2 linked regions of the Macaca fascicularis genome follow. The protein of the gene in region 2 purifies or fractionates together with the protein of the main gene of each other region. This does not show direct contact. Links are inferred from orthologs where the notes say so. Each region holds a gene or a part of one and is shown on either strand. Other genes may lie near its edges.

Region 1 (3,565 bases), on a different chromosome or scaffold from region 2:
ATGATTTCTTTTTTTTTTTTTTCTAACCCCTGCTTTGTTATTTTTATTTTTTTCTTAGGGTTTATTGTAAAAGAGACATTTGATTGGCTGGTAAAGGTTTCCTTCTGTGTACGCATCAGGCATAAGATTTAAATACACATCCATTTCTGAAAATGAAACTAGGATTTTAAGTATTACTGGCTTTCTAAAGCCAAGTCCTAGGCAGTTCGGCTCCAGTGGCTTTTCATGGCCTGACTCTGGTAAGGCATTCGAAGGCTGCTCTGACTCGCAGTTCATAGAAGAGACCAACCGGCTCAGTATTCATAGTTGTTCCTTCCAGAACAGCACTTGAGATCATCAGTGCTAGTTGCCAACTAGAATGCTGAATTGGTGACATCTTTTTTTGTTTAAAGCACCATGATTACTCACACATCCCTCTACTTCCTGAGTCTTGTGGAAGAAAAACAAGAGTCTTCTTTTTCTGGATAATGTCTTCCTGGGGGCCTCTGTGGTCCACAGAGGTGTCCTGACCTTCTGAGGCATGCATGATGGGGAGGGGGTGAGGGAGTTGTGTGAGTGTGTAAATTTAGTAGTTCTTGAAATGATTCCTTTTTTGGATTATAGAGTCTCACTCTGTCGCCCGGCTGGAGTGCAGTGGCATGATCTCTGCTTACTGCAACTTCCGACTCCCAGGTTCAAGTGATTTTCCTGCCTCAGCCTCCCGAGTAGCTGGGACTACAGGCGCGTGCCACCATGCCTGGCCGACTTTTTGTATTTTAGTTTCACCATGTTGGCCAGGATGGTCTCATCTGTTGACCTCGTGGTCCACCTGCCTCGGCCTCCCAAAGTGCTGGGATTATAGGCGTGCGCCACTGCACCCTGCTAAAAATGATTGCATTTTAAAGAGATTTTCATAATACTTGCCCTTTGATCACCAGGGCTTTAGTCCTACTGTAAGTGACCTTATATGTTTGCACATTTGACCTTAATCTTTCTGAAGCCCAGGTGTCTCTTCCATTTGATGAGGTTAATCTGTGCCTTGCCTACTTCCCAGGGTTGCTTTGATTATCAAGTTTAGATGGAATATACAAGAATTTTGCTGAATTCCCATGCATTATTACTGTAAGGGCTCAATGATGATTATTACCACATTCTGATAGTGTTTCAATTAAAGCATGTTAACTGGTAGACTCGCATGTGTTGGTTGCATTCTTAGTCATGTAAGTGTTGGTTTCCTCCAGCATCTCCATCGTCTCCTGAGCACTTGCCTGCGACACCCGCGGAATCTCCAGCCCAGAGGTTTGAAGCTCGGATAGAAGACGGCAAACTGTACTATGACAAAAGATGGTATGTTATGGGAAAACCTGGACTACTTGTAAAAGTCTCATACCAACCACTTGGAAAGAGGGCTTGGGGCTATTGTAGTTATTTCAGAGCATGGCTGCTGTTAAACTTACATAGTACTAAAAGTAGAAACCCATTAAAAAATGTATTAGCAGTCATTTAACCAATACTTCCAGTAGATCTTTGAAAGCAGTGTTTCCCAAAACCATGTTCTGCTCCCCTTCCTTCTCCATTCCGCTGTCTCTGTACTAGAATTTGCAGGCTGCTATCTTGTATGGTGCCCCTGCCAACTGGGGCTGGGGTGTATGTCCCCCTGTGACCCCTCTTAACTCTGCCCCTGTGTGCTAAAGTTAGTAGGTGCTCTTCGGATTAAAGGATTTTGTGGTCATATTAGTTTGGGGGATGATCATGTTAATTAAGATAAGTGGGTTTCTCCCTTGTAGCACCCTTTGGGTCCTGTGATATGCTAATGTACACTGTGAATTTCTAAGATGTTATTAGTTGTGTTTTGATGTCACATACCCTTTTTTCTTACATGATCCTGCTGCAGAAGTGGTCAAGGATACTTGCTTGGGGGAGCTGTATCCTAAAACATTCCTAGTTTGTTTTTTGTTTTTTGAGACGGAGTCTTGCTCTGTCACCAGACTGGAGTGCAGTGGTGTGATCTCAGCTCACTGCAACCTCCGCCTTCCCTGTTCAAGCGATTCTCCTGCCTCAACCTCCCGAGTAGCTGGAATTGCAGGCACCCGCCACCATGCCCAGCTAATTTTTGTATTTTTAGTAGAGACAAGGTTTCACCGTGTTGGCCGGGTTGGTCTCGAACTCCTGACCTCACATGATCTGATTGCCTCGGCTTCCCAAAGTGCTGGGATTACAGGCGTAAGCCACCATGTCCTGCTGCATTCCTAGTTTACACTGAAGACTCTTTGAAACCTTCAGACCACCTAGCATTTTTCATTGGAAAGGTAATGGCAAAACAGTATGGAAGAACCTTAAAAGCTCATACTTTTGTTCATTCAACAAACATTTCTTCTGTATTAACACTTTCTGCTGGGTATGAAATGGATACTGCCATCATTTCTCAGGTCTTTTCATTCTGATATATTTCTTTTTATTCTTTGTCCATATGCAGGCATACTCTCTATTCGTTTTAAGTCATAATGGACATATGGTTGGCTTTGCCTTTCCGTTTGGTTATATTGAGAATGTTTTTCTGGGTTACTATAAGGTGTCTGTAATTATCATTTATAATGGCTATATAATGACCCTTTGAGTTTCAGTATCTAACCAAAAGTTCCAAAATTGGGGTAATGGTTATTTATTTTGAATTCTTAAAAAAAACCAGCATTGTGTTAGATTGGTTACTTGATAACATTGTACTTGTCAGAAATGCTTAGGGTTCTTGTCATGCCTGAAATAAATCATTTCCACCTACTAAGTTGCAGTGAGTTAATTACCCAGTAGATGCTGGAGGCTCACTTTATCACTAAGGCTGGTCTTGATGACTTCTTCCCCTCTGATTTGGTTTTCTTTGGCCTTCTTCAGGAAGGTCGGTTTGTGTTGTAACATTATGTCTCAGAACACATCGCCACTAGGTGGCAGGTTCTAACAGCTTAACACCGAGAAGGGCAAAATGAGATGAAAAATGTTTCTAATAATGAAAACCAAATAACCTTTAAAGATCAAGCCCACACATAAGAACCATCCTTGAAAATGATGAGATTTATCAGTAACATTTTTACGGATCTATGAGTCTTAAAGCCATGTGATATTTCCAGTCATATTCATTTTGTTAATTGTGTTGCTTTGAATCTTCCTCTTTCTAAGCTTAATCCTCAGACTTGATGAGACATGTCTTGAGGGTGAAAATGCAGTAAAATAAAATTCTTGTTTTTTTAAAAAAAGGATCCACAGTGTCTGGTGTTTCCTAATGTAAACAAAATGGTCAGATTTGATGTGTTAGAACTCCTAAGCATTTTGAAGGAATTTTCACCATCTTTCTTACATCAGCAGCAGAAATGTAGAAAATAATGTCACTGGATGCATTTTACCTCTTCAGTGAAATTGAAATTGCTTATTCTCTTGTTAAATATACTGTGAAAATGTTGTTTTCTTCTCTATTCCGTATACTTTTAATTTTTGGCCTTGGCAGTCAGAGATCATAATGCAGTTGTTGAAGGTGGGTCTTTCTCTTCTCCAGTGACAATTGAAGAGTGTTCCTGGGAATACTGGCTGAGCTGCT
Region 2 (4,151 bases):
CAGGTGCGCCCCGGCCGCCCGGAGTCCTGCATCCTGCCGGCCTGCTTTCACAGAGCCGCGCCCGCGCCGCGCCTGGGGCTCCCGCCGCGCGTAGGCTGTGCCGACCGCGGTCCCCGGTGGGGACACCGAGTCCCACTCGCGGCGTAGGGAGGCGGGCACCGTCACGACACTGGTCCGGCCCGCGGATCCCTTGGCCGCCGCAGTTGGCCTCCATTACCCTTTCCCGCGCCGCGCCTCCCCGCGGGGAAAATGAAACCTAGTGCCCTCAGGTTGAGACACAGGGTGGGATCCACTGTCTTCTCACTTAGCCAAGAGAAAAGACAGAACCGACTTCAGACAGCAAAGGGGTGTGTTGCCCTGGCCGGGTCGCCTGCGGCCCCGCCCCGGCGCTCTCCACCTCCTTCGCGGCCCGCCCTCTTGGCGCCCGCGACTACATTTCCCAGAGGACGCCGCGGCTCCGAGGGGCGGGCCCGTCCGCTCTCCCGCTCACGACCACCGGCGACTGGCTGACTCGGCAGGGGGCGGGGCCTGCGCCAGCCAATAGACGGGAGGCTCGTTACGGCGGCGGAAGCAGCGGCGCTGGAGTGAGGGGTGGGGGGCAGAGTGCTAGCTCCCCGGCGGTGGCTGCGGGTCGGGAACCTGGGGACGTCGGCCCCGCAGACAGAGAGCGCGCGGGAGCGAGCTCAAGGCGGCGCGGCGGCCACTCGGCGCAGCACCCAGGTAATGGCGGGACGGGAGCCCGGGAGGGAAGGGGAGGAGACGAGGGGGCGGGGCGGCCGAGCCGGGCTGCAGCGTCCGTCCCGTTGCGCGTCCCCGGGGAAGGGCAGAGGATCCTCGTCTCCTGCAGCTCGGACCGCGGCTCTTTGGCGAGCTGGGCACGGCAGTTGGGCCGGCGACAGGGGCTGGGTGTCCTGTGGCGAGGAAGGGAGAGGCACCGGGAGGGGTGGGCTGACCCGGGCGTGGGGGCGTGGCGGACGTGGGCCTTGGCGGGGAAGCAGAGCGGTCGGGGGAGCGCGGGCGGGCGGGCGGCCCAGGGAGTTTGGCTCCTGGAGCAGTTTAAAGTGACTCTCCACATCCGGGCCCTGCGCCCGCCGCTTTCAGACCCTGGCCAAGGCGGGGCCTCCCCGCTCCCCGCCCCCCTCGCCGGGGGCGCCTGTCTTCCTCTGCCATTGGTTCAGCCTCGAGGGGTTTGGGCTGCCCCGGCCAGGCTCGCGCCTGATTGGCTGGCGGTCGGCGGGAGGGTGGGGCGGGTCCTGACCGTGTAGGTCGCTGTGGATTGGTCCTGGGCCTCCACTGACGCGCCGGGCGTGGGGCCAATGGGCGGGCGGGGGAGGCAGGGGCAGGTTCGGGGGAAGAGGACTGCGAGCACAGCGGCGGCCGGGTGTTGGGGGTGAGTGGGGCCAGCGGGGCTGGACAGCGGCGGGCCCCGGGCGCCGCCGCCGCGATCCCTCCCCGCGCCCCCCGAGCGCATCGCCGCCGCCGAGATGGGCCCTCCGCGGCACCCCCAGGCCGGCGAGCTAGAAGCGGGCGGTGCGGGCGGCGGGCGGCGGCTACAGGTAAAGAGGCACAGTGCTCGCCTTGTGGTCGGGTCCCCAGAACGCCCGTCCGCACCCCTACCCCGGAGACGGGGATCTCGCACTCCGAGGTGTCTGGAAATCGGCGTCCTCCCATCTCAGCGGGGGCTTCGCGGTGGGGTGGGGTTGCGGGCGAATCAGGGGAGATCGCTTGGCTCCTGGGGGAAAAGTGGGGGACGATTTTAGGGAAGATGGAGAAGGTGTAGGGTCCTCTTGCTCTGTGGGGGTCTATGAAAGGGAAAGAAAAGGAAATCCGTAAATGGAAGCCTTTGCAGAAAAGCGTTGGAGAATTCCTTTTGCATCAGGTCTGAATGTAAAACATCCGATCCTTTCTTAGGGCTGGGTATCTTCCTCCGAATGTTCCTATGACATGCTAATCACAGTTCTGTTCACCTTGGTGTGAGGTTTGAGTGTTTCGAAGAGACATGCCATTTTCCATAAAACTTTACACAGAGAAATACACATGCATTGTGGTAATACCTGTCATGTGACTCTTGTACAGGATTCAATGGTGATTTTTTTAGCATGGCAATCCACAAGTATTTATGGAGGGTTATAGTACACGCCAGCTCCGTATAAACGATATTGGTAGAAAACTTAGGTAGTTTAGATAATGTCTGCATTTATATTGATCCTACGTTATTGTTTTTAAATAGATGATGCAACATTTGCTTTTCCGAGGGACTATCTCATAGGTACTAAAGATGCTTTAATTTCTCAATATTGATTCAGATCTCAGAATCTAGTAATAACCATATAACTGTATGTACTGCAGGTGGAAATGAGTTCTCAACAGTTTCCTCGATTAGGAGCCCCTTCTACTGGGCTGAGCCAGGCCCCTTCTCAGATTGCAAACAGTGGTACTGCTGGATTGATAAACCCAGCTGCTACAGGTGAGATATGTAATATTCTAATATATTTCTTCCAACTTTACGAATATTGCCAGTTTTCTAACTTAAAAATTAGCAGATTCCTTCTAGGATTTTAGTAAATTCTTATTTCTTGAATTTGAAGAAAGGGTATATTACTATTCTAATTTAAACAAGGCTTTTTTTCTTCCTGTTTTAACCACGTCGTTCACATAGAGTACACATGCAACTTACAGCGAAGCATGCCTGTAAGAACTATTTTTGAAATGCATTAATATATTCATGTTTAATTAATGTCCATGAGTATAGCATTAGTGCTGTGAGGGAGCCCAGAGTTGTTTAAGGAACAGATCTTGCCTTTTAGGAGTTTATTATCAAGGAAAATAAGTGGAAAACAAAGGATATGCAGTTTCCCTATGGTGTCTGTGGGGGATTGGTTCCAGGACCCACCTCAGATACCAAAATCCATGTTGCTCCACTTTGTGATGTAAAATGGTATAGTGTTTACATATTACCTGTATCTATCCTCCAGTATACTTTAAATCAGCTGTAGATTACTTGTAATGCCTACTACAAAGTAAATAGTATGTAAATAGTTGTTATTCCGTATTGCTAAGAGAACAGTGAGAAGACAAAAAAGTCTGTATGTGCTTAGTACAGATGCAACCATATTTTATTTTTCCCCCTGAATATTTAACATCCAAAGTTGTTTGAATTCACATCAGGGAACCCATGGATACAGAGGGCTGATTGCATACACACAGATAAGACTTGGTTTTTCGTCTCATGCCCTTTGAGTGCTAGAAATCAGTGGTTCTCAGTGACAGGTGTTTGGGGAGGTGGTTTTTCCTGCAGGGGAATACTTGGCAATATCTAAAGACAGTTTGGTTGTCACAACTCAACAGTGCTATTGGCATCTGGTAGGTAGAGGCCAGGGATACTGCTTCACATCCTACAAGATAACGGGAAGCCCCCACAACAGAGAAGTATCCAGTCTAGTCAGCAGCGCTGAAGTTGAGGAATTCCTTCAAATACTCTTTTTCGCTACGTATTAAGTAAATATGTGACATTGCAAAGTGGAATAAACTATTTTCTTTTTTTTTTTTTTTTTTTTTTTGAGACGGAGTCTCGCTGTGTCTCCCAGGCTGGAGTGCAGTGGCGTGATCTCGGCTCACTGCAAGCTCCGCCTCCCGGGTTCACGCCATTCTCCCGCCTCAGCCTCCCAAATAGCTGAGCCTACAGGCGCCCGCCACCACGCCCGGCTAGTTTTTTGTATTTTTAGTAGAGACGGGGTTTCACCATGTTAGCCAGGATAGTCTCGATCTCCTGACCTCGTGATCCACCCGCCTCGGCCTCCCAAAGTGCTGGGATTACAGGCTTGAGCCACCGCGCCCGGCCATGAATAAACTATTTTCTATTCCTTTTTCTTCACCACTCGATTCTGGTGTTCCTTATGGTAAATGATACCACTGTCTACTCATTGCTTAAACCAGTAGCTGAGGCTTATTTTTTTGCAACAGCATCTCATGCTGTCATTCAAGCGGGAGTACAGTGGCCTAATCACAGCCCACTGCAGCCTCGATCTTTTGAGCTCCCCAGCTTATTTTATTTTATTTTACTTTATTTTGTTTTATTTTATTTTTTTGAGACAGAGTGTCACTCTTTGGCCCAGGTTAGAGTGCACTGGCTCTATCTCAGGTCCCTTCGG

Evidence for each region.
Region 1: the proteins of SAP130 (region 2) and SUDS3 purify together in Homo sapiens (affinity purification with western blotting; 3 studies listed by BioGRID, with this or other methods). This does not show direct contact. The link is inferred for Macaca fascicularis from reciprocal best matches to the Homo sapiens genes SAP130 and SUDS3.

The regions. Positions count from the first base shown.
Region 1 is NC_088385.1:125,402,587-125,406,151, forward strand, and holds part of SUDS3 (sin3 histone deacetylase corepressor complex component SDS3), read left to right. Parts: intron 1-1,220; coding exon 1,221-1,326; intron 1,327-3,565.
Region 2 is NC_088386.1:3,499,456-3,503,606, forward strand, and holds the start of SAP130 (histone deacetylase complex subunit SAP130), read left to right. Parts: upstream 1-1,341; 5' UTR 1,342-1,484; coding exon 1,485-1,556; intron 1,557-2,349; coding exon 2,350-2,467; intron 2,468-4,151. UniProt on the Homo sapiens protein: Acts as a transcriptional repressor. May function in the assembly and/or enzymatic activity of the mSin3A corepressor complex or in mediating interactions between the complex and other regulatory complexes.